3 linked regions of the Tamandua tetradactyla genome follow. The protein of the gene in region 2 interacts with the protein of the main gene of each other region in a pairwise test. Links are inferred from orthologs where the notes say so. Each region holds a gene or a part of one and is shown on either strand. Other genes may lie near its edges.

Region 1 (8,868 bases), on a different chromosome or scaffold from region 2:
CGGTTTTGGTTCTATCTTTGTCATACTGTAGCATTGCCAGTGCTCAGTACAAGTACCATCATTGCTGGTAGAAAGTAGGGGTATGTTCATGTCCGTGTGAACACAGATGCTAACCCAACCACGCAGACACACACATGCATATGCCTTTGGACTGTAGGCTCTTAACATTGTCAGTTCCTCTGATATGGGATTCATGCCTTCATCTTTAGAATAGCCTCAGCTTCTCCATGTTTCAGTAATCTACTGCCATGCCCCAAACTATCCCCAAACATTCTGGTTTAAAGCAACTGCCATCGCTCAGGATTCTGTTGATCAGGAATTCATTTAGGGCCTAGCTGGATGGTTTTAGGGTTTTTTGTATTTCTTTTTCCTAGTCATCCATTCCCCTGCCTTCATGTAGGAGAGCCTCATGGGAACCTGGTAGCTTGTGAACATGAGCATAAGGGTTCTATAAATCCCGTCCACTAATATTATTCATCTCTTCCCTATTGCTCCCCCAGCAGTCCCTGTTCAGCCACCTGTCTTATCTCCTTCCCCCCAAGCAAGGAAGCACCTCCCAAAGTCACTTCTCTGCTCTGTGTCCATTTATGACCAGGGAATTTTCTGTCTTCCAGGATCTCAAAGCACCTATTCTAGCTTCTTCTCTGACTCCCTCTCTGCCATGGGGCTGGAGGAAGAGGACGAGAGCAGCATCAGTCGCCTCATCTGTGGTCCCCAAAAGACATGCTTGACTCCCAGGAGCCCAGTGCATTAATTTTGTCCAGTGGAAAGGCATGTGCTTTAGGGTCAGAGAGGCTGGGTTGTGGTACAATGTGGCCAATATTTTTGAGTCCTGGTGTGTTGGTTTGAAAGGATTATGCACCCAAGAAAAGACATGGCTTAATCCTAATCAAATCTTGTGGGAGCAATGTTTATTTATTTATTTTTTTTTAAAGGAAAGACAGAGAGAAGGAAGGAAGGATAGAAGGAAGGAAGGAAGGAAGAAAGGGAAACATCTTTTAAACATTTTCTTGTTTTATTGTATTTTGTTTCTCTTTGTTTTTGTTACATGGGCTGGGGCCGGGAATCGAACCGAGGTCCTCCGGCATAGCAGGCAAGCACTTTGCCCGCTGAGCCACCGCGGCCCGCCCAGCAATGTTTATTTTAATCCATATTCAATAATGCAGGCTGGTATTCTTTGAGTAGATTATCTATGTGGAGCTTTGACATACCAATTATGGATATTAACCTTGGTTTAGAGGGAGATGTGACTCCACCCATTCCACGTGGGTCTTAGAAGCATTTTGGAAAGAACCATGGAGCAGAGAGTCCAGGCAGCCAGAGACCTTCAGAGATGAAGAAGGAATACACCCCCGGGGGAGCTTCATGAAAAAGGAAGCTTGGAGAGAAAGCTAGCTGACATCGCCATATTCACCATGTGCCTTTCCAGTTGAGAGAGAAACCCTGAACTGTATCAGCCTTTCTTGAGGGAAGGTAACCTCTTGCTGGTGCCTTAATTTGAACATTTTTATAGACTTGCTTTAATTGGGACACCTTCATGGCCTTACAACTGCAAACTTGCAACTTATAAAATACCCCATTTTAAAAGCTGTTCTGAAATGCTAGTGATCAATGAAAGGGAGGGGTAAGGGTTGTGGTATATATGCATATTTTTTCTGTTTTAGTTTTACTTCTTCTTCTGAATAGATGCAAATGTTCTCAGAAATGATCATGATGATGAATATGCAACTATGTGATGATATTGTGAATTACTGATTATATATGTAGAACGGAATGATCAAAATAAGAATGTTTGCTTTTGTTTAGTGTTTTTTGGTATTTAAAAATGAAACAATAATAATAATAATAAACAGCTGTTCTGTTTCTGGTATATCATATTCTGGCAGGTAGCAAACTACAATACCTGGCCTTAGCCAAGTCAGTAACTCCTGGGTCTCAGTATCCTTGTCTAATAAGAATAGGGTGTAGTACCCACCTCTGTAACATGGCCTTTGTGCATGGGTTGATTTGACAGCCCAGGTCAGTCACACGGCCCAGTACCTGTCACAGCTTGTGTGTTCCTGGGAGTAGAACCCTGGGCATTTCTTCCATATCAGAGCCTGGACCTAAAAGGTAGAGCTGGACATTTGCCTCTACCCCAGCCAGGCTCTTGTCTAATCTGACCTGTGAATGTGCAGGATGGCCAAAAATCTTCCCCCCAACATTTCAGATCCCTTTATTCCATCCACTGAACATATATGGCACACCTAGTAACACTTTCAGATGATGAAGATGAAAGGATGAAAGAGAGAGGGCCTTTGCTCCGCCCTCAAGGAGCTTATGTCTAAGGGGGGAAGGGGTAGATCATATCACAGGAGGGCTAGGGGTTCACATTCCCACTTACTTCTTCTTTTCCCTGCCCACCCTCTCTCCTAATGACTCTTCTTTTCCTTGCTACTTGAAACTTGACCCTGTTTCTCTCCTCTCTCCCAGCCTCGCTTTTCCAGGGGTGACCATTCAGTTCTATAGCAAAAGACTGAACAAGGTTTTAAAATATCCAGTTGCAATTTTTATTATGCCAATTCTCACTTCACGTTGGAATGATTCATGATTACAGATAGAACATATGGGATAATTTAAAGAGTATTTTTGGATACTGTGCAACCATCACTTCTAATTTTTATCTTTACACCTGTACCCTGAGCTTCCTTCCCTACCCAAACATTCAAGGAGCACCTATTCTGGGCCTTAGGTTTTTCTCAGCTTTAGGGACAGTTACAGCTAACAAAGCAAAATCCCTGTCTGCATGGAATTACATTCTAAAGGTGGAGTCATAAAATGATAAAAGTGCTACATAATATGATGGCCACTGGTGTAACTAGTGCTATGTAGAAAAATGAAGCAGGGTAAGTAGCAGAGGGCCAGGCGTTCCAATAGACGGAGTAGTCAGGTAAATCTACTCCAAAACTAACTGGGGAGACATCCTTCCAAGGTAGAGGAAATAGCAAGAATGAAGGCACTCAACTCAGCAGGTGAACTCACTGCCCTCCCTCCCATGTGTGGCATGACTCCCAGGGGTGTAAATTTCCATGGCAACGTGGGACAGAAATCCTGGGATGAGCTGGCACTTGGCATCAAGGGGGTTGGGAGAGCCTTCTTGACCAAAAGGGGGAAGAGAGAAATGAGACAAAATGAAGTTTCAGTGGCTCAGAGATTTCAAACAGAGTCGAAAGTTTATCCTGGAGGTTATTCTTATGCATTATATAGATATCCCTTTTTAGTTTATGATGTATTGCAGTGGCTGGAGGGAAGTACCTGAAATTGTTGAGTTGTGTTCCAGTAGCCTGGATTCTTGAAGACAATTGTATAAAGATATCACTTTTACAATGTGGCTGTGTGATTGTGAAAACCTTGTGGCTGATGGCTCCTTTTATCCAGGATATGGATAGATGAGTAAAGAAAAGAAAGATAAAAATAAATAAATAATAGGAGGGCAAAGGATAATATAAATTGGGTAGATGGAAATACTAGTGGTCAATGAGGGAGGGTAAGGGGTTTGGATTGTGTGAGTTTTTTCTTTTTTCTTTTTATTTCTTTTTCCGGAGTGATGCAAATGTTCTAAAAACGACCATGGTGATGGATACACAACTGTGTGATTATATTGTAAGCCACTGATTGTACACCATGTATAGAATGTATGTATGTGATTGTATACCATGTATGGAATGCATGTGTATGAAGATTTCTCAATAAAAATATTTACAAACCAACAAACAAAAAGAATCAGCTAGGACAGTGTGGTTAGAGCAGAGCTAGGGATGGGAAGAGACTGGAGTGAGTCAGAGAGAGCCAGTGGCCAGTCACTGACAAGTTAGTGCCCTGGAGGCCATCCAGGACTTTGATTTTTATTCTGAGAGGGGAAACTGTTGGAGGGTTTTGAGCAGGGTGGGTGATGGGATATGACCTTTGTGCGAAGGCTTTTTGTGGCTACTCCGTGAAGAATAGACTGTCAGAGATCAAGAGTGAAAGCTCAGTGATCATTTGAAGCCCTCTGAGTAAGAAACGAAAGCTTGAATCAGGGTAGTGGAAGTGGAAGTGATAAGAAGTGATTAAATTGGCGATTTATTTTAAAAAGCAGAGCCAAAACGCTATGTGCATTCTAAAGTCGTGGGCCAACTGAATTGCTCAACAAGTTTGAATGTGATTATTCAAAGAAGAAACGCAAAATCATTTAGAAGCACAAGCAGCTTATTCATTGCTAAGAAATGCATAATACCCGTGGTCGAGGGGCATTACTAATATTAGACTATGAAATAAAGTCTGCCTGCAAAAGATTATCAGATGCTGATTTTGCAGAAATTTTTATACCGCACTATTAAGAAAAAGTTAAAAAGGAGGAAGTGTACAACATTATTTTCTAACTCCAGAAAAGTCCCTGCTTAAATACCGTTTTCTTCATGTCTCTGTAAGGATTTGTGACTCCCGCAAGACAAGCACTTCTGTGGTCAGTAGGGCCAAATCGATAATCTTCTGGGTGAGTCTATATTCAAAAGCAGGGAAATGTGTTAACAGAACTTCACGCAAATGGAATCTGGTGTCCGCAGATGCACGAAAGAAAACTGAATTGTGCGAGGCAGTCGAAGGTGCGGTGGGATGGCTAATCTTTTCAACTTGAGCGGGTCTGCCCTCTGAAGTAAGGTCTTCCTGCCCTCTGGGTCCTTGGGTTCCAGCAGGGCGCCGCTTCGGGGCTTGGCTGCAGTTCAGCGGCGGTTCCCAGGGTCGGCCGGCCCCTCCTCTGACCACACCCTCCTCGCGCCGGGCTGGCGCGCCGACCGCCCTTGAGGCCTTGTGGGCGGGGCCTGCGCAGCCGCCTGGCCCCCGGCGCGCACCACCCTCCGCCCTTCTTGGCGGCGCGTCTCGGCGGACACGCACTTCCTGCGAGGCTTCTGTGTGGACCTTGACCGAGCCGAATCGAGTGGACCCCTCTGAGCGGTTCGCGATGGTGGACGAACTGGTGTTGCTGCTGCACGCCCTCCTGATGCGGCATCGTGCTCTGAGCATCGAGAACAGCCAGCTCATGGAGCAGCTGCGGCTGCTGGTGTGCGAGAGAGCTAGCCTGCTGCGCCAGGTACGTCCGCCCAGCTGCCCGGTGCCCTTCCCGGAAACGTTTAACGGCGAGAGCTCCCGGCTCCCCGAGTTTATCGTGCAGACGGCGTCTTACATGCTCGTGAACGAGAACCGGTTTTGCAACGACGCCATGAAGGTCGCATTCCTAATCAGCCTCCTCAGCGGGGAAGCCGAGGAGTGGGTGGTTCCCTACATCGAGATGGACAGCCCCATCCTTGGTGATTACCGGGCCTTCCTCGATGAGATGAAGCAGTACTTTGGCTGGGATGACGGCGAAGACGACGACGATGACGATGAAGATGACATTTACTAGGCCCAGAGAGCCCAGGGCCTAGGGTAGGGGGTTAGATGCCCCCGCACGTCGCCGCCACCCTCCTCCTCTTCTCCTTCCTCTCCTCTTTCCCCTCTCTGGAAGCCGCCACACTCCTCTTCTTGCTCTGGCCCTCTTCCCTCCCCCTGCCCAGTCCCCTCGTAGAGCTTGCCTTTGTTCAAAGGAGTGCTCCAGTTACCTGCTGCTCTGAAGTGCTCTACCTGCCTTTCCACTCTGCCAGCCCCAGAACCCCTCCCCTGCGAATATGGACTGTGTCCTGAGCCCCAGTGGTGGGCCAGGTCCCTGCGACACACTGGACAGACAACACCACAGCGGTGCTGCTGCCAGGCCTGCATCTGCCCAGAGACCTACGCTGCCACTTCACCTGCACACATCACATCGCCACAGATCATCGCCTTTGGAGATAAGGACCAACCTCAAAGCTGCCTGAGTTGGCTACACCTCCTTGGACGCTGATTTGGACAGCCCACCAACCCCAGAAGAGGGCTAGTGTTTCAGCCTGTTTTGTTTCCTACCTACTCCCAGAGTCCTCCCCTGCCCCACTAGATTGCTGCAGGGGCCTCGTATACGTGGTAGCCAAATCGTGACATTCTTTTTCTCCTGCGCACCCAGTCTTGCACACTTGTCATTTTTCTTCCAAAATTGCAGCGGTCCCACAGATGTATGCATTTGGACAAAAAACTAAAAATAAACCAAATGAAGGAAAACAGGCTCTCAGCCCTCCTCCTCAGTGCTACCTGGAAAAAACCTTTTCATTCTTTTCAATAAATATCAAGCACTACTAAAAAAAAAAAGAAATTATTGTCTCTTAATGATTAAGTGCTATCACTGATCTTTCTCCCTTCTACTCTGGCTTCCTGTATTCCCACTGAGATCAGGTAACCCAGTTTGGTTACAGCATTCCTTACTGTCATCTGTAAGGCATGGAAGACAGCCACCACGGGGCTTTATAGGGATATTGGTGCTCTCCTCACCAAGGTATTTCTTAAAGCCTTGGTGAAGGGAGTGTCCTCTGGGCCCTCTAGGGTGGCATGGGTGGCTGATAAGGTGGCACATCATCCCACACACGGACAGTTTAGAGAGTGAAAGGGGAGGCTATTAATAATTAGACTTGTACCACAGGCGTAGACCTGGATACATGTACAACATTCCTATTTCCTTGATCCCTTTTGGATTCCTTTCTCAACACTGCCAGGGAAGTTCTGGACACTACTCCTTATTGCTTCTGAGCTGCAGCTGAGTTCAGGCTTCAGTTATCCAAGTAACATTGTTTTAATGCTATTTTCAGGTGCTTGAGTTAAAGCTTGGATAAGTCCACACCTGTGATTAATATAGCCCACCTTTAACATTCAGATACCCTTAGATTCCCCTTCTGTACATGTGTCCCAGATTCCTACCTCTACAAATTGGCAAGATGCTTGGCTCTCTCCTGAACTGAGCCTTGTACTACCATCTGGACTCTGCTGGGCTGCCTTTGTGGGTGTGGAGGGCTCGGAGGCCATGAGGGTTAGAGTGGGCCCTGAGGACAGTCTGATTATCTTTGTGAGGCAGTTTCCGTTGATGAAATCATTGAGTTCAAGGCAGAGAAAAATTGTTGGAAGTTTGTGGGGACTACCTCTGACAGCCAGGACGCTTCAGGAGCATTTGATGGGTCCAAAGTTCTCATCTGTATCTGCCCAAGCCCTACCTTAGACCTATACTTAAATTAGATTATACATTTCTTTGTTGCTTAAGGCCTCTTCTTTCTTTCTTTTTTTATACAGTTTTATTGAGATACATATTCACATACTATATAATCATCTAAAGTACACAATCAATGGTTCACAGTATCATCGTATAGTTATATATTATCACCACAGACTTACACATTTCCTTATTACTTAAGGCCTCTTGAAACAAGAATGGTCTTTTACTCTTACTCCAAGCATCACACAGTCACTTCCCAGGTATGGGAAGTAGGAAGAAGGTCAGAGATAAACAGGAGCAGAGCAGACTTAGTAAGTAGATACGAGAGCATGACAAGAACCCATTTATTCTTTGCCATCTGAAGTGGAGCCCGAACAAAAGCCACTTCACCTAGTGAATGGACAAAGTCCAGAACAAGAGTGATTTCTAGGGCTGAAGACAGCTGTTTGTGGAGACAGAGGTGGATACATCTTAGCAAAGGAGGTTGAGGCCTGGGTGGGGATGAGACCTGGGGCTCTTTGGGGAGCTGCTTCCTCCAAACCTGAATAAAAAGTACTACTGGTTTGGATTCGTCCATCACTTCTGGTAGCACCCAAACACCCCTTGGAAGAGATGGCAGATTAAATACGGGACATGATATGTATGAGGCCAGATAATCACATTTTTCCCCCTCACTAGAAAGACGTTGAAGTGGAGTTTGGGGAAGGGGTGAACAAGAGCTGAAAGTTGGGTAAGGGACCCAGTGAGACCCAGAATCAGCCATTAATTCAACGTTTATCCATGTGAGGAGCTGGAGATATGCTGGTGAATGAGATTGCGGTCCTTGCTGTCAAAGTGGTTCCAGTTTTATGCTTACGTGGTGCCTTCCAGCTAGAACGATGATGGTATCTATCCACAGGCCAGGCCCAGGAAGGGCAACTGGGCTGTGATTGAATCTGGGAGAGACCTTTCTGGGCTGGAAGTTGAGGACATAGAAATAGATGAAAACTACACTCCACCACAAGCCAGGTTAGCAGATGGTCTGTGAGGAAGGAAGACATCTCTTTCCATCACTGAGGAGACTGCCAAGGCAGCATATGAGCTGCACCACAGAGCTAGGCCATGGAGCATTGGGATCTGAAATGTACATTTCTTATACAAGAAGTGTTTGGTAGCAGTTTACGTTACTGAGGAGACCAAGGATGTTTCCTACTTATGCCCACTTACAGCTAAACATAGATAGCTTTTTGGCATCCTTTAACAATGCTTTAAATGATGCCCGTAAACCTCCGCCTGCCCTAAGGAAAAGTCTATCATCTCCCTTGGGATATTTTTGTCCTCCTGCTTGAAATTCCTCTGTCAGAATTTGTTCCTTTGTCTTCAAATTGTCCTGAGGCTTTTAAAATATTTCTACACAGCAATTATCCAGGGGAGGGTAACAGCTTGCTCAAAGTAATTATGAACAACATGGCAAGATTTGTTATTGGAGCAGAAGCCCTCCCCTGGATGAGTTGGGAGGTGGGTAATGAGATGCTGCAAAGGGTGGTTGAGAATAGCTAGATATAGTAATATTTGTACATCCCCTCTCTTCCCTCACCAGTTGTATCAGTTATGATCAAAAGCAAATGCATTTTTCTTTTGATAAACTCCACAACACTTTTATACCTTCTCCTCTCCCTCCCTAAATTACCAATAAGTTCACCTTCAGATTGTGATAATATACTCATATTTTAGTCAAAGTCTTGATAAAATCGGTTTAATTGAAG
Region 2 (10,821 bases):
GACTTCTCAATAAAAATATTTTTTTTTAAAAAAGGAGCAGAGAGAAACTTCTGGGAAGATGGCCAACTAGAGTAGCTCGAGATTAGCCCTGCTCCATGGAAAAATTAGAGAAGGGATAGGAGGACAACTAAGGTGGCAGTTAGGGAGTGTGGTGACCTGGGAGGGCCTTCTGCACCACATGTGGCAGCTCTGGTTGCAGAGGCCGAGAATAAGAGGCAGAAAGCTGGAGCCTGGCACAGAGGTTCGTGGAGCCACAGAGCCCACAGGAGTGCACGGACGGGAACACGGGACTAAGAAGTAAGCCAGGCCGTGTTCCTTGGGTGGACTACCCTCACCAGCAGAGCCCAGTAACTGGCAACTCACCCCACACACCTGAACCCCATCATCTGTAATGTTGGGGCATCATCCAGGTGCCCCAACCCCGCCAGCCCTCAGTACACATACCTGCCCCACACCCCACCCCAAATGCAGCCCAAACCACCTCTCCTGCACCCCTCACGAGCACAACCTCCCCCTCCCTGTTCCCTGAAGGCTGTTGCCAGTGCATAAAGGTGGTGGGCACTAACCTCCATACCTAGACTACCGCCCCCCCCCACATGGTGTCACAGAGCCTCACCCCACCCTCCCTGAGCTCAGCACATCCATTTATGGCACTCCCAGGCCCACACATACACAGGGCCCCAATCACGTGATTCAGCTCTGGGAACCGCACTTTACAGCAGTCCTAGAACTGTACATGCATTCTCACTTCCCAGCTCTGAGAAAATGCCAAACTGCACAGCCAGGTCACATCTATCCCCTATCCCCAATCCACAAAGACGTAATGCCACAGCTCTACATTTGCGCACAGAGAGCCCCATGCCATAGACCAGCACACACCAGGGCACAGCCCTGGTTACGCCCCTCAGACCAGGGCACCCACACAGTTATATCCTCCCTGGCCACTGGAAGCCCATGTTCACAAGCATCAGCGTAACATCCCCAACCTGTGCCCATACCTGCCCTGAAGCAAATCACTGCACTGAGTTCTCCACCCCGCGCCCTGCTCCCTGCTGTACAACCATCCTGCAAATTCAAGGCCTTAGATGACTGAAAGAAATCAACTCCCAAAGCAAATCAATCAAGATATTTACATGCCAGTAAAACAGCAGAAGATCACTAAGAATATCACAATGCAGACAGATATAGCCCTGCCTAATGACCAAATTAAAATACCAGAGGAGACACAGACGTTGGAACAACTAATTAAAGCTGTTCATACAACTCTACTTAATAAAATAAGTGGGATAGCAAATGACATAAAGGAGATCAAGAACACAGTAGAAGAGCACAAAGAGGGATTTGAAAGAATAAATAGAAAAATTGCAGAAATCAGAGATTAAAGACTCTGTTGACCAAATAAAAAACATGCCAAACAGAATAAATCCAAATAGGCCTTCCCCAAGGCAATACTAATCAATCTGTCAAATATTGAAGGAGAAGCAGAAAATCCTGAAAGCAGCAAGAGAAAAACAATCTACTACATACAAGGGAAATCAAATAAGACTGAGTTCAGACTACTCAAAAAGGAGCAGGGAAGAACCAACTCCATAAGTACTGTCGGAGCAAATATAAGTTATTTTCTAATTGTACCCTATACATTTCATTTTCTTCAATGTATTGGGTACATTTTCTAAATAGCATGACACAAGATTTACATGGTCATGGAAAAAATTTCAACTTGGCTTTCATTTAGAATTCTTTTTTTTTGATTCTAGAAAAGCTTGACATGAGTTACCTATGGCCTTTCAATGAACGAATTAGAGCTATTTTTGCTGGCTCAGTTTCCTACAAAATATCTTTATTGATCAATTTTTCAGCTCCTAGTTAAGGATCAAGATGTATCCTGAGCCAAATCCCTAAAATATGCATAGAGGAATTGAAAGCCATATAAAACTTTAGTTAAGTAACTAGGACCTTCAGCTTTGACAAAAAGATCAACCAAATACCCTCCAGTTATCTACAAGTAGAGCTTTCATAAAAGACACTCTGAAGACTCAGCCAATCACTATGAATGAAGGTAGTATCACAAAGCCCCAGATATGTGCTTAGGAAATAATCAAAAGGACAGGTTTTAGAATCAGAGATTTATTTATTCATTAAACAAGTATTTATTGAGTGTGTACTATATGACACGCTTTGTTCCAGGCATTAGGAAGACCTTAGCCAGTAAAAAACAGTAAAAATCCCTATCTTTGGATGTTTATGTAATTCCCTATTATATGTTTACAATTTTACCCTTCCCCCAACTTTACTTAGGCCAGCTTCAGTTTCTTTTTTTTTTTCTTTGTATACAACAGTCTCCTTCTATAAAAGTAACACAGTAACCTAATGGCAGAAAGTACAAACAAATCAATGAGGAAAATCATTAACACATCTGTGTTAGTTTGTTAAGTTGACAGAATGCAATATGCTAATGTCTTCCAAAAACAAGAATTTAATAAGCTACAAGTTTACATTCTAGTGCAGAGAAAATGTCCAAACTAAGGCATCCAGGGAAAGAAACCTTAATTCAATGAAGGCCAATGGGTCTGGAATACCTCTGTCAGCTGGGAAGGCAGGTAGCTGGTATCTGCTGGTTCCCTGCTCCTGGACTCTGGTGCTTTCAATCTCTGTTTCCTGAGGGGGTTCCTGATCCATTATCTGTGGGCTTTCACTTAGCTCCTCCAGGACACAACTCTGGGTTCTGGCCTGCTCAGCATTTCATGGGAAGGCATGTGATGCTGCCCCCCGAGCTCCATGTCACTAGGCTTCATGTCCACCGGGCCACACGTCTGCCAGCCCCCCATCTCCAAATGTCCAGGTCTCACATCAGCTCTGTCAGCTCTGAAACAACTGCCCTCCAAGCGTCTGCATCAGCTCTGCTCTAAGCTCTCTCCAAAATGTTTCCTCTTTTAAAGGACTCCAGTAAACTAATCAAGATCCACCTGGAATGGGTGGGGTCAGATCACCACCCACAATTAGCATGTCAGATCTCCCTGGAGATAATCTAATCAGAAGTTTCCACCCTGCACTTTTGAATCAGGATTAAAAGAAACCTTGCCTCCCTTTGCTGGGGCACATAATACTTTCAAATCAGCACAACGTCAATAAAAACTTGAGAAGAAAAATGAAGTGGCAATTCACTCAAGTAATACAAATAGCCAAGAATTATGAAAGGATTTTTTACTAGTAAGCAAAAAAAAAGAAAATTAAAAGAAGAGGGTGCCACCCCCATCAATTTGATATAGGCAAAAATCCAATACCAAATGTTGATAAGGATATAAAGAAAGTAGACTTTGAAGCACTGTAGAAAATAAATGTATATTCTTCCATTTAGCCACATTTACCATAATTGTAAATGTAGGTTACCTTTGACCTGCAATTCTATGCCTATAAATTCATCATAAGGAGATAATCCGGAAAGTAAACAAAATAAGCAAATGTACAAGAAGAGTCATTATAGCTTTTTTTAGAGTAGCAAATTTTGTAAATAACCTAATTACTCACCAATAAGCTATTATTATGTTTCCACACAGTGAATACTATGCATCTATTAAAAATAATATAATTACTTAACGAAATTAAAAGATGGCCCAAACTTTTAAAATGTATTAGTATAAAACAATTTAGAGTGATCTTATTTGTAAAAAAAAAAAGTATATTTATTATATATGTGTGTGTGAGGCATGTATATACATATGGAAAAGAATTGCAAAAATGTTTCTGTACTGAATGGCAATTGTAAAATGAGCAGTCAGTGTTGGTGATTTTATAACGAACCTCAGGATGCATGGTTGGGTTCAGAGATAGAATGCTTGCCTGGCATGCTGGGAGACCACGTTCAATTTCCAGTCCACGCAGGGAAAAAGAAAAACGATGGCAATCTCATCCACTACTGTTGAGAATATGAATTAATAAAATATTCCTTGAGGGCAATTTGGCTCTATTTATAAAAAGCCTTTAAAATGTGCATTTCATTTTATTCTGTGATTTCATGTTTAGGAATTTATTCTAAAGAAAAGAGTATGAATGCTGATAATACACATATTTATATAAATATATTTATATACGTATAAAACAGCTTATAGATGAGATGCCTGGGAGGTGGGGGATAAAAAAACCTTAATATTCAACAATAGAGATTTTTTTATCATACATCTTTCTTTTCATTAAAAAAAAAATGACATTAAAGTTTGAGAGGTTTGGGTTTGGTCCTTGTGTGGTCGCCAATGCTAAGGGGATGGCAGAACTGAGTCCCCAGAAATGTAAAAGCATCATTTTAAAGTTAGTAGCAATCACAATGTCAAGTTTGAAGGCCGAAGTCAAATCATGGGAATATCCACAGACATGTGGGAGGGTACAGGCTCCAGCTCTGGGGGATCAACAAGAATGGAAATTCCTTGGAGAAGATAAATGAACAAAACAGGAACTGGCACCAAAACGGTCTGATGAGAGAAGCTCACCAGGAGGATAGGGATCCTCCTCTTTCCTGCTACTCCTTAAGGGGGGAGGAAGGTGACCCCAACAAGATAGCAGCTACTTAGATACCACATTGCTCCAAGGCTGGTCAAATGGCAATGCCAGAGGACGGAATTCCAGCTATAAATGGGGACAAACTTTTCCAATTTCTGCACAGCTTGTTTCTCGATTCCAGTACTTCCTCATGATTATCCTTCTCTAAGCTTTCATAATTCATGATGACCGTGTTCATGGTGAAAGAGAAGCCAAAAATTCAAAGTCCATAGTGCCATGCAACTATAACTTCTGGTACATCAGGTCCCAGTGTCTGCAGCAGATGAGACTCTGCAATGGTCTCAAAGTTGGGGCCCCCTACCATCACAAAGGGGCCTTCCTGTAGCTCTCGCTGCTCCCCCACCCCATTTGTTTCCAAGCACAGTTAGCCTTCTGACTCAGATTGCGATCATAAGCATCAGACAATGCAGGAAAATGATGGCCAGACCTTTCATCATTGGGGGCTCTGAAAGGGTTTTGGCCAGAGAAAACAGACATGTTGATATGGTCACAGATCAGCATGATATCTTCAACCTCGAACTTAAGAGTTGAGCCCTCCAGTTGCATTGGTGATTACTAGGGATTCTCACCCATAAGTCAGAAAACCCACACTCGGAATGTTACTTTCCAGAGCAGGCAACCTTCATGAAAGTGGAATCTGTCCTGCATCACCACACAGGATTAGTCATTCAGGAACCCAAATACCCATTGTCCAACAGGAATTGGTACTCTATTTTGAGAGAAGTTGTGTATCTCAGTGTAGTCAAAGTTCTGGGCCTGAGTTACTTTATGAACCAGACCTCCTAACACAGAACCACAGATCTCAGCCACTTAAGGCCAGTGCTTTCTGTGGAATAGAAGCCATTCTGTAGTGTTCTGATAATCTCCATATGTGAATTCTTTCTCCATGGTCCTGCCTGCGCCTTCTTGATGAGCCAGCTGTATTCCATTTTGCTAAACTGCAGTCGCTGGGTGTGGTTGACACTAGTCAACAATAAGGATTTGAGTAAATAAAATATCATATGTTTATAATGCATAATATTAGGTAATTATGTTTACCATGGAAAATGTTTAACATGGAAAAAGATTCACAATAAATAAGTGGAAAAAGTTTTAAAACTATGTTCCTTTTTGTCACAAGCTGGTAAAAGATAATAAATACATGTACAAAAGAATTAAAAGCAAAATCTGAAACAACTTCAACAAGATATTCATAGTAATTATCTCTGAGTCAGCTGTTTTCATTTTCCTTTAAATTCTCTACAATGATCATGTTTCATGTTTGAAATAAGAAAAAAGTCATTTAGAAGTATACTGAAATCCTTAACAGCAGGTAAGCTTAAAAAAAAAGAAAAAGGTAAACTTAAAAAAAAAAAGAAAAAGGGACATTTGAAAGCAGCTAAATGAAAAGACCCTCCGTTTAAAAAACGACAGACCTTTTAGAGAAGAAAGAGCACTGGACCAAGGTTCCCACACTAAATTGCTGGGAACCTAAGAGTCATCGTTAAGTGATCTGAATCTGTGACTTCATCTGCAAAGTTCAGATTGGACTTAAGGTCTCTTTCACCTCTTACCTTTCCTGAGTCTAGGTATTAGCCTTTATTCTGTATAAAGAAAATAAGTCACTATTAGCAGTGGGCAGATATTAGGTTGGCGGTTGTCTGCGGAGCTATTCACTTAAGGATTTATCAAAAGATGCTTTCAAAAGAGAAAATTTGTAAATGTGGAGAAAAATATGTTTTTTTCAGCAGCCTGTTCTACCAGGCATGGTGCTTGATTTTGAGGGCAGAGAATTACATGAAAAAGAAATACAAGAGCACCCTCACGGAATGTCAGTCTGGTGGGGGAAACAATTATAATAAAGAGTGATAAATGACAACAGCCTTCAAAGATGACTATCCATCTTTGGGAAGAGTATTTCAACATAGAGGGTTAAGCATGTACACTCGAGAAAGGCTATGGCTGACACACGCAAACGGTTACAGCACAGATAACTTCAGGCGGATCGGAGAAAGTCAACGTGGTAAGCGTCTGCCCGGCTGCTCTTAGGCGCCGGAGGCACTATTGGCCAGGTTTCCGGCCAATCTCAGTTCCTTGATCAATTTAAGTCCCGCCCATCCCTGAGAGACCTGACAGCTTTGAAGTCCCGGATGTGGTGAAGGTCTATCGATGCCTCTGGAATAGACTGCCCTGCCCTGCGTTGCCGCGGTCAAATTCTCGCAGACTTCTCTGTCGACCGCCGAGCGGTAGTTTCGGCGTCGCGCCTCGATCGGGAGCTTTTCAGGAGGCCGCAGCCGGTCCCGCGCAGGAACGATGGTGCGTTTAGTCTCCAGCTCTAGCAGGATTGGGTTTGAGGTCCGGTGGCTTGGGAGATGTCGAACCGTCTTTCCTGTCATCTTCAGAGCGGACCGGGGCCATGGGGCATGGGAGCCTGAGCCGACGCGAGGGCCCGGGCAGTGATTCAGCATCTCCGGCCAGGCCGGTCGAGAGTCGGTCCGCTGCGGCCTTTTCCCCGGGACTTATTTCGCTTCCCAGTGGTCTGGGACAGTTCCTTACTCTATCAGCTAGCCCAGTCTTCCCTTCAGCGTCTTTCAGTGAAGTAAATCCCGAACGGTCCAGTATGGCTTCTCGTGTTCTGTGTGGGAGAGATGAGGAGAAAATAGGGTCTTGGAGGCCCCCCAGTACCCCCAGTGAGAACTTGACTCAGAGTTTGGGTTCCTGAACGGCGCCGATTTTCCTTGTGGACCAGGAAATGATCATTAATGATGAATGAATGATTTATCATATCCCTATGATTTATAATTATTCTCATCCCTAGGGCTTAATCAGAAAAGGCCCTTTTCAATCACTTTGTCCAGTAAACTAGTTTTAGAGATGGGAAACCAAGAGTGAGAGCCGGAGTGCTAGAATGAGGGTTACATGATAGGGCTCTGGGCTTCCAGTTGTGTGTTTGCCTTTCCGGCAGCACTCAATCCTTTCATCCCAGTGATTGTTCTCTCCAGTACTATGCTTCTAGACTTGTTTTAATACCATCATTATAATAGTAATGGTTCTGTTGCTGTAATTACTTGTGTCCACCTCTAACTTCCTGAGGACATTTTTGTGTTTGTTGATTAATATTTATGTGTTTACACATACAAACACTGTTTTACATGTAGTGGGAGTTCAAAGAGAAGTCGGACATGCCCCTATTCATAATAGAAAAAAGAAAGGAAGTGTATATAAAGAACTATGGGAGCGTGTGCTGAGATTTTTGGAGAGACGGAGAATTCAAGATTAAAATATTTGAGCTGATTTAAGGAAGAAGTAGGGGTTGGGGGGATTTATTAGAGCCCAGGGTAAATGAATGCATAAGCAAAAACATAAAGGAAAGTTGACAGTTATGAACTTTGGTATTCAACCTAAAAATATATGCTGTGGAGAGTGGTACAATAGGAATTTGGGAAAGTAAGTTCTGTCCAGCTCTGCCTACACTCCTCTTCTTTCCCCATCCCCAACCCACCTCCTCCTCATAAATGTTTGTGGGATTGTCTTGCAACTGAACACAGTAGTGATCTTATATAAGGTTACGTTAATAGACTTGGGTTAATGTTGAATGCAGAGGATTCAAGAACATTTATTTCTTAATGATAGCACATTTTAAGAATTGAGATTTGTAATGTTCTTATATTAATAGCTCTTTTTTTCCTTCACTTTCAGTTTCGCAACCAGTATGACAATGATGTCACTGTTTGGAGCCCTCAGGTAGAATAATAGATTTTATACCATTTCTATGACGTGACTTTTGGTGGCTGCAATATGTTTAGAGATTCATAAGATTGGATACTGTAAGAAAATGGAATATAATCATTTCAGACATCCTGGAACTTTTATTTATCATTAAATTTCCTGGTTTTAAAAAAATTATTTGAGGTTTAACTATGCTTGCCTGAGTTTTGAGAGCTCTAAATTAGGTTTTACTTTATAAATGTGTCTTCTGAGATGTGAGGTTTTTTTTTCCACTCTTTAGGGCAGGATTCATCAAATTGAATATGCAATGGAAGCTGTCAAGCAAGGGTCAGCTACAGTTGGTCTGAAATCAAAAACCCATGCAGTGTTGGTTGCATTGAAGGTAAGTAAACAGCAAATCTGTCTTCTCCTTTGAAAAACATAGCTACGAAATGTAAAGTCCACTGTATACACGGTAAAGTTGTAAACTTGTCTTTATGTCTTATAATGTTTTTATTTAGAGGGCACAATCAGAGCTTGCAGCCCATCAAAAAAAAATTCTCCATGTTGACAACCATATTGGTATCTCAATTGCGGGGCTTACTGCTGATGCTAGACTGCTATGGTGAGTATGGTTATTTAAAAAAAAAAAAAGAAACACTCCCTTTAGATTTATAATTGATTATTCTCTGTTTCTAGAAAAGATCCAAATAAAGTGTTGTAGGAAGTTGTTTGCTAAAAGGTGTATAAAGATTGTAAATGCCTTAGTGCTTGGGCTGATTTACTAAGTATTCAGTTTCTCCATCCCTGTAGTAGTAACTAATAGAATTAGCCATATTAATAATATGCTTTTGAGAAGTCATTGAATGAAGTAATGCTTGTTAAATCAGTGTATATTAATTTTAATATTTTAATAATGCTATGTTTAAGACAAGCTTGAAATTTTTCTCTAGTTTCCAAGAATGAACTGAACCACCCTTGGTTTCTTCCATATATCAATTTTTATTAGACTTTTATTATTTGCAAAACTTAATAATCAAACAAGGATCTTGTTCTCAAGAAGCTTAAAATCTAACTTAACTCTACATAATAAGTATAATGTCTATGATACAATGTGCAAAGTGGTGAGTTTTGTAAAAGTAACAGATAAATTTCCACTAGAGTCCATAGGAGCTAGAGATTTTTTTTCTAATTGAGAAGCAATATATAAATGAAGAGCTGGAGTCTCTGTAAATCATGTAGCTTTTTACTCAGTATTTTCTTTCTCAAGATTATTTTTAAACAGCCTAACTTGTAGAGCACTTAACATAGTGCCTTTCAAGTAGTATGTGAACATGTGTATGTTGGGGGTGGTGGTGAGATTTAGCTAAACTAAACTCATGTCCATGATTAATTAAGAAAGTAATTTAAAGGCAAAATAGTAATGCTGATGTTTAAAATTTTCAAGTTATCCAGCCAGACCCTTGCTCTAAGTCATCTTGACAGCATTGTACTTTTCCATCTACTCTTGAAAATGTAGAATGTGTTACATTGTCAAACATTTCACGAATACAGGGATTCAAGCAAAACCCTTTACACCAGTACTACCCTGCAAAATAATATAATGCAATCTACATAAATAATTTAAAATTTTCTGGTGACTATATCTTTTAAAAGTCAAAAGAAACAGGAGAAAATATAAATTTTTTTGTTACTAAGTATTTGAAATTTGATGTGTATTTTGTACTTAAACAGCATATCTCAATTCAGACTAGTCATTTCTCAGGTGCTCATCAGCCACAGGTTGATAGTAGCTGCCATGTTGGACAGTGTAGTTTTAGACACCTTGGAAAATGGACTTAAATAAAAGTTTTGAATAGTTTGCTGCCTTTGGTTAAAATTTGATCATGCAATATGACATACGCATAAATTGGATAAAGCAACATGGAAAGAAAGGAGCATACCCATTTCTTATTGTTTATCCTCTTGGCTTTAATAGTTAGGCATGAAATCCCCTTTGCCCAGTGTTCTTGTGTGAATCTTGGCAGGTTTAATGATGAGACTACAGTCTAGTGTTAAGCCTCTCCTTTAAAGCTCTGCTTACAGAGAGACGTAACGTTGGCAGGAACATGTTAAGGTGTCTTCTAATATGGAATCTATTTCTCATAATTGCTGTACTGGGGAAATGTTAGTCTGCTTTCAGAGAAAAAGCAATATAGGTATTCTTTTGCTGGTTCAAGAGCTAGAATTAAGACAAACTTGCTGACAGTGGGAAGGATAAGAGAAGAGCGATTGTTTTTATTCTCTTGCTCAGTCCTTTCTTCTCTATTCTGTAAAGTGCTCTGAGACAAAGGTTTTCTAGAGCTAAGACATACTTTAGTCTTTTTACAAACCTCATTTCGTCTCAGACATTGGTTCAAAAATGTATTCTTATGGTTGTGTTTCTCTTACCTTTCTGATTTCTTTATACAGAGGTAATCCATATAAACGATGAAAGGAAGCAAAAATGAAACCAAACTATTTTATTTAGATTGGATTAACTCTTAGGTTTGAAATTACTAATAAAATCCTGTTTCCTTTTTAGTAATTTCATGCGCCAGG
Region 3 (10,924 bases), on a different chromosome or scaffold from region 2:
AGAGGCATGTGTTCACAGCCAGTCCTTGGTTGAAATAGGTGTTAGAAAGAGTTTGTTGGGAGGTGAGAGGAAGGCAAGTCAGAAGAAAGATGGAACATTCTGAGGAGGAAAGTTTGAGAGAGAAGACCAAAATTTTCAGCAGTGACTGAGGAAAGACAAGATGAGACAGCTATAGGGAATGGCAGAAACTCTTGAATATTTATATACTACACATGTTGAATGAATGAATAACCTTAGTACTTATCTATGGTAATGTACTATTTGATTTATCCCACTGTTTCCACTAGAATGAGGCTCAAGAAGTGCAGAACTTTGGACCATTTATTCAATTGTCGGTCCCCTAAATATACTTTAAGAGCTAAGTAAGTGTTGATGAATACACTTTTAAAAACATCTGTGGCAACAGGAAACTTTAAAGGGTTAAGCAGGGAACTGTCTAGTCCAATTCACTCTTGGTGCTCTGTGAAGAAGGAACAGGATGGGGTGAGACTGAGAGCAGGTGGGCCAGTTAGGAGGCTATCACAGTGGTCTGTAGTAGTTAGTTGATGTATTCTAGAAGTAGAATCACAGGTTTTAGTGATAGGATGTCTAAAGGGATTTGAGAAAATAGTATCAAAAATGATACTGCAGGTTCTAGCTCAGAAACTTCAGTTATTCGCATTGATAGCAGATACATTTGAATTTTTTTAACTTAAATTTACATACCCACTGGCACTTATTCATTCAACAAGTATTTAATAAGTACCAACCACATGCCAGTCTGCCACAGGTCTATGTGCTAAGAATTTGGCAGTGGTCATTGTCCCTACCTTCAAGGAGCTTACAGTCTATAGGAATGAGTCAGACAATACACAGATAGTAACCAAAATAAAGAAGGACGATGAGTAATAGGGATGGCCCTGCTATTTTATACAGGGTAGCATGGGAAAGTCTTTTGGAAAAAGTTTGAACAGAAGATTTGAAGAAAGTGGGGTAATGAGCCAAGTGGAAATAAGGCATTCAAAATGTTTTCAGAAAAACAACAAACTTCTCTGACAAAGTATTGGAACAAAACATTATTAAAGACTCAGTCACGAGAAGCCAGACAATGCAAAGTGAAGACTGTTCCTTGGAAGAAGCAAAGAATTTCAAAGCAAGGGGAGTTTGGGTATGACTGATTGATGATATATGAAAGACTGACTTCAGAACTACCGACAGAAGGCAATCAAAAATTTCTAGCTGACTTTCAAGTTGATTAAATTCTACTAATATATGATTCAATTAAGGGAAAATTTATGAGTTACAACAAACAGGAAATACAGACAAAATCCTGATATTTTTGTATTATCACTAAATTGCATTTTTATCATAAGCATGGGATAAAACAATAGTCTGACACAACAATGCTCTGCGTAAGCCCAATGGGCAAAAACAATTCAAAAGGCTCTTTAGGCTTAGACTCCTAAAGAAATGATGTGTAGTTAATGAAGGGGAAAAAATATACACTCTGTATTTGTATAAATACACACACACACACACACAAATATTCAGCTTTATCCTCACTGTTCCCCACCCCCATTACCTGTCTTTAAATCAGTGTAGCTTACAACTGAGTTTCCTCAATTAGGACCTGCAATGTCCCAAAGAAGGGCTGCTCCTTCAGCTAGGCATGTAATTAAGAGGACAATGGGGAATTAAAAAAGAGAGGACATGGAGCAACTAAACTGCAATGCCCATGCACGAGTGAGAAATAAACCTTGGTTGTTGTATGTCATTAAGATGGGGGTCAACTGTTAGTTTATCATAGTCCAGTTGATAGAGAAAGACACCATGTCTCAACCCTAGGAATACAGTTAGTCTTCCCCTCTTCTGCTCCAGTTCAGGACCCCCAAGTCCCATCCGTATTTCTGCACCATCACCATCTTCCTCCCTTCACTCAAACTCCCACTAATCCACACACCGCAGTTGCGTTAACCTTTCTAAACCACAAATGCGATCGTGATCATTCCCCTGCTCAGAAATTACCAATGGCTGCCAGAAATACTTCTCCCTTTGTAGTCAAGAACCCAGAAAGCCTGAGGCATGAACAAGATTCTGGAAACCACAACCCAGGCCAAAATAGCTTCTATAAGATTTTTATTGTGCTCACATATTTTATTTTTTAAATGACAAGTTTACACATTAATCCAAAACACATACCAAAGCTCATTATGATGAACATATATTTGGTCTTATCTACCATCAAAATTTCATTTAGGAATTCTGGAAATGACACCATGCCTTTTCTATGGCTTTTGCACATCCAGTAGCAGACTAAGAAACTGTCCAGAGTACAGTTACCTCAAAAGTATAGGCTTATAAAGATGAATAAACTCTGCTTGCCTCTTCCACTTCATCTCCCACAAGTACCTCCACATTCTGAAGTTCCAATTCACTGGCCATCTCCTGTGGGCTGGAACTCCCCAGGTGTTCGCTCACATTGCTTCCTGTGCCCCATACACCTTCACTTATTTCTACTTTCAGAAGCTGTACTCAACATTCAAGGCCAAGTTAAAACACTTGCTCTAAAAAGCTTTCCCAGACTCCCTCCTCAGTGTTTCCACAGGAGCACACTCTATTGTTATTTGTTTCCATTTCTGTACCACACACCTCGTGCCAATCCATGAATTACTTTTATATTCAAAATACTTTGCCCAAAATAGGGAGCACATCACATTCCCACGGACTGAGTGACTAAACATGCTTGCACTGCCGAAAAGCAAGAGTTTGGCCAGAAGTTTCTTCTTCTTTTTTTTTTTGCATGTGCAGGCACTAGGAATAGAACCCAAGTCTCGGGCTTGGCAGGCGAGAATTTTGCCGCTGAGCCATTGCACCACCCCAGAACTTAATTTCTTCTAAGAATGGAAGCGTTTTGTCATCTCTTCCCTGTATCATCTTCCAAAAGTAATTTTCCCTCACAGAAAAAGGCTTACTGAAAGCCTCATAAACTACAGCAGTTTACCCCCTTTTGATGATGCCAACACTCAGATAAGAATATCCATTTCAAAAGAAATTTATTTATAATTCTTTAATTGACACACATAGAGGATTTGGCCATCTGAACAAAAAGAAAATTTCAGACAAAGGCTCTCTAAGTCTTGTTTTTCAAGGCAAACCAACACATTCCACGTTTGATTTTGCCCTCAACTCCATCAGGTCTATTACCCTGATGAACTAGAAAGGACTTTATGAGCCCTAATGATGCTTTTTCCTTTCTCCAGACTCTCCACACTTCTGTAGATTGTCTCTTTAATGCTATACTCTGAAGCCCCTATAATGTGTTGAGGGCATCACAATGGTGAAGCACACCCATCATTTTATTCAAACTTCTATGTCATAAACTTCTGAGCTAGGTTGTCTAAATAAACTCACCTGACAAAATACACAATATATATCAGACCATGTGCTACACAACATAGCTCTCCTCCTTTGTTTCATACAGGAATTAAAGTTTCAAAATATTTACAAATCCATCTTCCATCTTCAACAGTCTTCTAGTTCTTCCCAGTCTGATCCAAAGCAATCTCGTTTATACATTCTTCACCAGATGCAACCCAGCAGTGCTTCCCAGTGCACCTCTAAAGTTGGAAGATTCTGATCACAAGTCTTTACATGTTCCAAAGTTCCAGAGAGCAATACTAGGTCATGCCCAACATTTCAAAAACACAGCAAAACAACAGAATAAATGTGACCACTGAAACAACTTTTGATTAAGCCCCATTCCCCTCATGAGAGTATTTCTCAAACAAAAATTATTTTTACAGATTCAATTACATCTGACAATACAAACCTGTATCAAAGTCATCAACCACCGACCATGAAGGAGACTGTTACATGGGGGTAAAAAACATTCAAAAACAAAACAGTAAAAATGACAAGCTGTTTCAATTTCTTCAAGTCCACTCTTACCCGCTGACCAGAGTCCATCAGCTGTGAACCTAAAGCACAATTGGAAGAAATTTACCATCAAGACATTCTGAGTCTCAGATTTCCATATCCTGATGTTTAAAAACTTTTACAAACATCTAAAGAATGTCACTTCTTACAGACAAGGTGCTGCCACACACCCGTCTTCCAGAAAAATCTGGGAATTTCTATCTCTCTCTGCCTGTGTTCTCACCCACCCTCCCCTAGTTTGCTCTAACAGCCTGGTTCCCCGCCTCCCCCTTCCTTAGCGCGGAGGCAGGTGTATCCCCGGCGACTGTACTACCACAGCTGACGCTTATGTTTCAAGAAAACGAACTTGAACTTTTCTCTATTACCAGAGCGGGAGGAGGAGCTTTACAAAACAGTATCTACTAACAGCTAACCAAACGAACGCATTTATTTTCCCCATCGCCCCCATTCCCCATCTTTAATGCAGCAAAATTGGGGGACCACTCCCAGAACGTTACCATTTTTAGAGGATGCTGTTTAATCGTGCTATGACAATTACCGAAACATCAATCCAGCTCCCGCCGGAGGCCGGCCACACCGCCACTCCCCCTTCAAGACGATTCGCTTTTCTCTATTCGCCAGACTAGCTCGACCAACATCTCTGCCATCTTCGCAATCTCTTTAGCCTTTTCCTCGGCCTTCTCACACAATTCCGACACTCTCTCATCGGCGTCTCCGTGTGGGTTCTGCACGTGATTCAAAGCGCTCTCTTCCGACGCCTCCACCTGCGTTTTTATTTGGATGAGCATATTGTCCATCTCCCACAACTTGCTCCTGGTCCTCAAATACGCTCTTCCGTGCTCTCGTATGAGCGATGCGATGTCCTCCCGCATCTCGTGGATGACTGGAAGCAGGAATTGCTCGAAATCTTCCTCCGGTTCCAGCAATTCGACCTCCTCGGGGGCTTCCACCTCTTCGATGTCCAAGGGCCGCATGTTCTCCCGCTACCCCTTCAGAACCTCAGTATCGACGTCCTCCTCACGCGCGCCCCCCCGGGGAGGGCTGATCACGTCGCTGCCGGACTGCAAACCGTGACCAGAATTCCCGGCTTACCCTTAAAACGCTTCCTCCGCTTAAACCCTTCGATTCACAGCTGGGACGCAGAGAACGCCTCGCAGAAACGCAGCGAAGCGGCCCACAAAATGGACTCGCCGCCGTCAACCGGCGCTCTGCGTCTTTGCGGCCCTTTCACGACACGGCTGCGGCCCTTTACGGTCACGCCTCCAAAAAACTCAGGGCTTGGGCGCGCGCACGTAACAGGATCGCGGGTGTGCGCATGCTCGCCTCTCTTCTCCGCTGGTGCCCGCTCCATCCCCTCGGGGGGACGGGACGACCGTAGAGGTTTGCTCGGCACGTCAGAGGCGGCTTCTGTGGACGGATTTTTACTTTTTTAAAACAATATGTGCTCTCGGGCCATGCTTTTATTATTTAAAAAAAAGCAATATATGCAAAAGCAATCCCACACCCCCACCCCACCCCGTATTTGGATAAGACTCCTTGGTGTCCCCAGCATTCTATGGGGGCCGAGCAAGCACTGCTCTGAAGTGCTTAAGTTACGCTGAATGAACTCACTTAACCCTCACAACAAACCCGTGAGCTAGGCCCACAGGTGGGGACGTAACTAAAATCCAAGCTCATGATTAGCATTTGAACCCCGAGCAATTTGGGTCCACAACCCCTGTTCTGAGCTACCGGATTATGCGCCCTCGCTGGGACAAAGCCCTTCAGCCCAAATCCGTGGATGCTGATAGCCCCTTTCATTCCCCTCTTCTGTACTGGAGAAATTTCTTTGACTACCTGGGTTACTATGGTCTGTTTTTTTGGTCTCTCTTCATCAGACCAAAAGCTCCCCAAGGGAAAGGTTCACTTTTGGTTCAGGTCTGCGCTCAGCCCCTGCCGGCAGCCTGGCATCAGGTAGGGCCTTTCAGAATGTTTAAGAGAAAAGGAATTTCTCCCTAAATTATCAAGTGCTTCCGTGAGACTGTAGGCTCCTGGAGGGCAGTTCTGGTCTTGGTCACCTGTGTGCCCCCACCCGCAGGACCTGGCGAACAGCTGAGTAAACGTTGCTTTCATATTCATTGACCATGTGATTTGATCACTGAAAGTGTGTCATTGTGGGATGGATGACGTACATTTCTAGGCTTGTCACCCAATGTCACACTTGGAGTAATTTGGGGAAATCCCGCTTGCTTGCATGCTAAAGATAAGAACATCAGTTTTCCAGTCCCATTAAAGGCCAGTGATCCCAGTCTTCGTATCTGTCGGTGGTGAGAGGTGTAAGTGAAACAACGTGCATGCAAATGTTTTGCAAACCTCAAAGTACTAGCAGATGTAAGTGTGCTTGTGTATTATAACTCTGCTTGTGTAAATTGTAGTGCTTGATATCAAAGATTTTGGAGTCAGAGTAATCCAGAATTAGCTCTAATTCTTCCAATTATTTGCTCTGTGGCTTTGGACAAGCTGGATAACCTGAACATACCTCTCTGGGTCTCTTTCCCCCTCTTATCCTAAGGTGGGCATTGAGGATAGTGATTTCCTAAGTAGGGGACCATGTGGCCCAATATTTTAAAACTCATGTCCTGGTGTGATAATTCCCTACTCTAAAAAGTTTCTGGTTTGATAAATTAGCCTTTATTAAGATTATGAACTGCTGTTCATCAAAAGGCACTATCAAGAGAATGAAAAGGCAAGACACAGAGGGCAGAGAGATATTTTCAATAAATATGTCTGACAAAGAATTCATACTAAAAAATATTGAGAAGTACAACAGATCAATAACAGAAAGTTAATTATTAAATTGGCAAAAGACTTGAGCCAGGATTTTATTGAAGAGGACATCCAAATGGCCAATAAATATGAAAAGGTGCTCAATTTCATGATTCAGCAGGGACATGCTTATGAAACCACAGTGAGACAGCACTAGACATCCACTAGCATGGCTAAAATTAAAACCACTGACAATACCCAAGTACTGTGGTGTGTGTGTGTGTGTGTGTGTGTGTGTGTGTGTGTGTGTGTGTGTGTGTGTGAAATATGGTACATTGAATTGTGTTCCTTGCAAGTCCTAACCCCTGGTCCTGTGGGATTAATTTGTAAATAGGATCTTCAATGATGCTTTTTACATGAGGTTAAATCTAACCCAGGTGGGCCTTAGTCTATTGTGACTGGAGTCCTTATGAGGAGAGGAAGTTTAGACAGACAGATGATTGAGCAGCAAGAGAAGAAGCCAGAGGAGAGGGCAGAAGGAAACAGATTACCATATGTTCTATTTACTAAGCTGCTGAAAGCAGATACCATAAAATGCTCTGGGGCGGGGGAGGGGGTTGCGGTACAAGGGTAGCTCCATGATAGAATTCTTGCCTGCCATGCAGGAGTCCGGGTTCGATTCCCCGATCCTGTACTTCCCCCAAAAACAAACAAACGAAAAATACCTCCTTTAGGGCCTAGAACATCAGCTAGTCCCATCTCCCAACCCCATATTATTGACAGCCCCTTCCAACATAAAAAAGTTAGAATGGCCATAGCCCAAATACCCCTAAAGATTGGGATTGAAAGATCAGAGGTGATGGTGGAGTTAAACAGAGAAGGTAGAGTTCAAAAAACGATTATGATTGCTGAATAATATCGATATTTCTTTCAGTCTCCAGTATCTTAGGATAGTTAGAAGTAAAAACCCAAAACTGTGGAATTGCAACCCATACCAAGCTCTGAAATCTGTTCTACAACTAATTGTTGTGCTGTGATTTGAAATTTCATTGCTTTTTTTCTGTTTATGTTATTTTTCACAAAAAAGAAAAAAAAGTCAATTATGATTATAGAAAATGTATATTTATTCCTTCTAGCCTCCTATATTCTGGAGCAGCTAGAAGGAAAAATCTGAGAGGATGGTAGCCCGTGGCAAACTCTGGGCTCTCTTGTTGAAGAGTGCTTTGAAAACTATTGCTTTTTTCTTTCTTTGTTTTGTATATATGTTATAGTATACAATAAAAAAAAAGTTTTTAAAAAATGCTCTGCCTCTATCTATGGGAACTTATTAGCTTACAGGCTTACAGTTTTGAAGCCATGAAAATTTCCAAATCAAGATGTCATCAAGATGGTGCTTTTTTCCTGAAGACTGGCTGCCAGCAATTGGCAAGGCGCGTGGCAGTGTCATTTGGTCTCCCTATTCTTCTGAGTTTCTTTGCTTTCAGCTTCCTGTTTCCATGGCTTCCTCTCTCTTTGTCCAAATTTCATTCTCTATAAAGGGCTCCAATAAGAGGATTAAGACCCACCTGAATGAGGTAGGTGATATCTTATTAAGATCCTACTCACCAAAAGATCCTACCCACAGTGGGCCCACAGCCGCAGGAATGCATTTTGGTGGGTACAGCTTCAAATCCTCACGCCATGGGATGGAGCAGAGATTGAGCCAGCACCAGAAAGCTACAGCTTCAGAGAACACATAGCTTACCATTACGTCAATTCTGGACTTCTTGCCTCCAAAATTGTAAGACAATAAATTCCTATTGTTTAAGCCAACCAGTTCATGATATTTTATTTATTATACCAGGCCTGACAAACTAAGACATGGAAGAATTGGGCTCTCGTACACACTATTCCTGGTGGGAATATGCATTGGTAAAACCTTGGGGAACTGTTTGGCAGGACCTGTTAAGGTTAAGCATATACCAACCCCATGACCTAGTAGTTTGACTCCTTGGTACATACTCAAAAGATTTTGAATTCCTATGTACACAAAAAGACACACACAAGAACACACATAGCAGTTGTATTATGAGCCCCAAAGTTGAAATAACCCAAATGTCTATCAGCAGGAGAATAAATAAATTGTAGTGTACTTTTTCAGTGGTATATTAGTTATATATTGCTGTGTTACTAGTTATCCCCAAATTTAGCATCTTAAAACCACAAACTTTATCTCACCTGGTTTGTAAGGGGCTGGGGGTCCCTCACAAGGTTGCAGGCAAGCTATTGGTTGGGGCTGCAGACATCTCAAGGCTTGACCAGGGCTGGAGGACCCACTTCCAAGATGGCATATTCATGCGGGTGTCAGAAGCAAGCTGGCCAAAGGCCTCAGTTCCTTGCTTTGTGCTCTCAGATGAGCAGTTTTTTCAGACTGCTTCCTTTTTTAAAAAAATTAGGAGGATCAAAGCTCTCTTCGTTTTGCACTGTCTCTGTCCCCTCCAGTCCAAACTATAGTGTTTCTTCTAATATAATTATCTTTAAAATATCATAGGAATTGGTAGAGTCATTACCAGGGGCTGGGGTGGGTGGGTAGGGAATGGGTAATTAATGCTTGAAGTGCTCAGAGTCTCTGTTTGGGGTGATGGGAAAGTTTTGGCAATGGACTGGGATGATGGAGCCCAACAATGGGAACATAATTAATGGCACTGAAACATATATTTGAATGTGACTAAAGGGGGGAATTTTAGGTTGTGTATATGTTACTAGAATAAAAATTTTTAAAAAGTAGGACTGTACAACACAACGAACCCTAACGGAGTCCTTGGACTATAGTTAATAGTACAATTACAATAATATTCTTTCAGTTGTAAAGAATGTAACACAATAATGCATGCTGTTAACAATAGGGGGTATATGGAACTCTGTATTATCATTTTTATGTAAACCTACAAATCTCTAAAAAAAGGAAAAAAGAAAGAAAAAGACACCCTAGGACTCTTCTGAATCTCACTGGGGTGCACTCCATTACACAAAAACCCACACCTGCAAAACCTTCTTGGGCTTCTGCTGATAATACTGAGGAACAAACTCTTAAAGAGTCCTAGAGGAGGCTATTTCACAGGGAGAGGAGGAGATATTCAGATCCTTGTAAATGAGGAAATTTCCAACGCCATGAGAGTGTGACCAAGACAAGACACATATTCAGAAAATTCAGGAGAAGATACCACGCTTTCATCTCAGGCCGATCTGCAGTTTCATTGGCAGGAGAGTGAAACTCTGAAGCAGAGTAACAACCACCACAGAACCAATTTGCAAAGACTGTGAAAAATGGTTTTCGTGATGCATTTGTTTTTGTTAGCTGCTGACATGTAAGAAAATCTCTGTCATATCACTATCTGGGTTCGGACTTAAGGAACAGACAGATCAAGGGCTAAATTCCGTTGTTAGCACATTAAAATATTAAAATGTACCAAAAAACCCAAAACAAACAGGAAACTATGGCCCATCCAAAGGAACAAGATAAACCATCAGTGATTTAATTAGGTTCTCTAGAGAAACAACCAAAAGGAGATATCTGTAAATATAAGATTTGTAAAGGTGTTTCATGCAAGAGTAGGAATGAGAGTCCAAATCCACAGGGCAGGCTGCGAGGCTGGCATCTCCAATAAAGGGTCTTGATGAACTCCATAGGAGAGGCTCGCTGGCTGAAGATGCACTGAAAATTCTGTCTTCTTCCTTAAAAGTCTTCAGCTGATTGAATCAAACCCAACTGATTGGATTATCTCCTTTGCCAGAGACATGCCCTTAGTTGATCACAGATGTAATCAGCCACAGCTGCAATCAACTGACTCATGATTCAATAAACCAGCCTTCTGGCTTATCAATCAGCCACTAAATATCCTTGCAGCAACAGTTAGGCTAGTGTTTGCCTGACCAGACAATTGGATATCACCTAGCCAAGTTTCCACCAGAACCTAACCATCACAATCAGAAACAATCAACAAAGAATTTTCTATTTTCTCTGTAAAAGGGAGATGCCTGGAGATGCCTAGACTTATGCCCCTGAGGAGGGGACCCTCACACACCTGAAAGAAGTGTAGGACCACACTCCCAGAAGACCTGTGTTCTCTAATATTTAGGAGCTGAAAAGCGAGTATGCGCTAGAAGAAGGGAAGCTTTACGTTTGGCCACAGTAGGTCTCAACAGAGACTAAAGATCAAGGCCAGTAGAGGAGACACTACTGTGGGAGCGTACTCAGTTCCCATGGGCCGGAGCCAGAGGCAAC

The links.
Region 1: the proteins of PSMA1 (region 2) and LDOC1 interact in binary tests that used the Homo sapiens proteins (3 or more experiments, as listed by UniProt). The two-hybrid records come from large-scale screens. The link is inferred for Tamandua tetradactyla from reciprocal best matches to the Homo sapiens genes PSMA1 and LDOC1.
Region 3: the proteins of PSMA1 (region 2) and MRFAP1L1 interact in binary tests that used the Homo sapiens proteins (3 or more experiments, as listed by UniProt). The two-hybrid records come from large-scale screens. The link is inferred for Tamandua tetradactyla from reciprocal best matches to the Homo sapiens genes PSMA1 and MRFAP1L1.

The regions. Positions count from the first base shown.
Region 1 is NC_135353.1:16,896,887-16,905,754, reverse strand, and holds LDOC1 (protein LDOC1), read left to right. Parts: upstream 1-4,858; 5' UTR 4,859-4,978; coding exon 4,979-5,419; 3' UTR 5,420-6,224; downstream 6,225-8,868. UniProt on the Homo sapiens protein: May have an important role in the development and/or progression of some cancers.
Region 2 is NC_135334.1:89,909,805-89,920,625, reverse strand, and holds the start of PSMA1 (proteasome subunit alpha type-1), read left to right. Parts: upstream 1-6,718; 5' UTR 6,719-6,846; coding exon 6,847-6,849; intron 6,850-8,232; coding exon 8,233-8,277; intron 8,278-8,542; coding exon 8,543-8,644; intron 8,645-8,762; coding exon 8,763-8,866; intron 8,867-10,804; coding exon 10,805-10,821. UniProt on the Homo sapiens protein: Component of the 20S core proteasome complex involved in the proteolytic degradation of most intracellular proteins. This complex plays numerous essential roles within the cell by associating with different regulatory particles.
Region 3 is NC_135345.1:6,191,515-6,202,438, reverse strand, and holds MRFAP1L1 (MORF4 family-associated protein 1-like 1), read right to left. Parts: upstream 5,145-10,924; 5' UTR 4,890-5,144; coding exon 4,506-4,889; 3' UTR 4,454-4,505; intron 3,957-4,453; 3' UTR 2,099-3,956; downstream 1-2,098.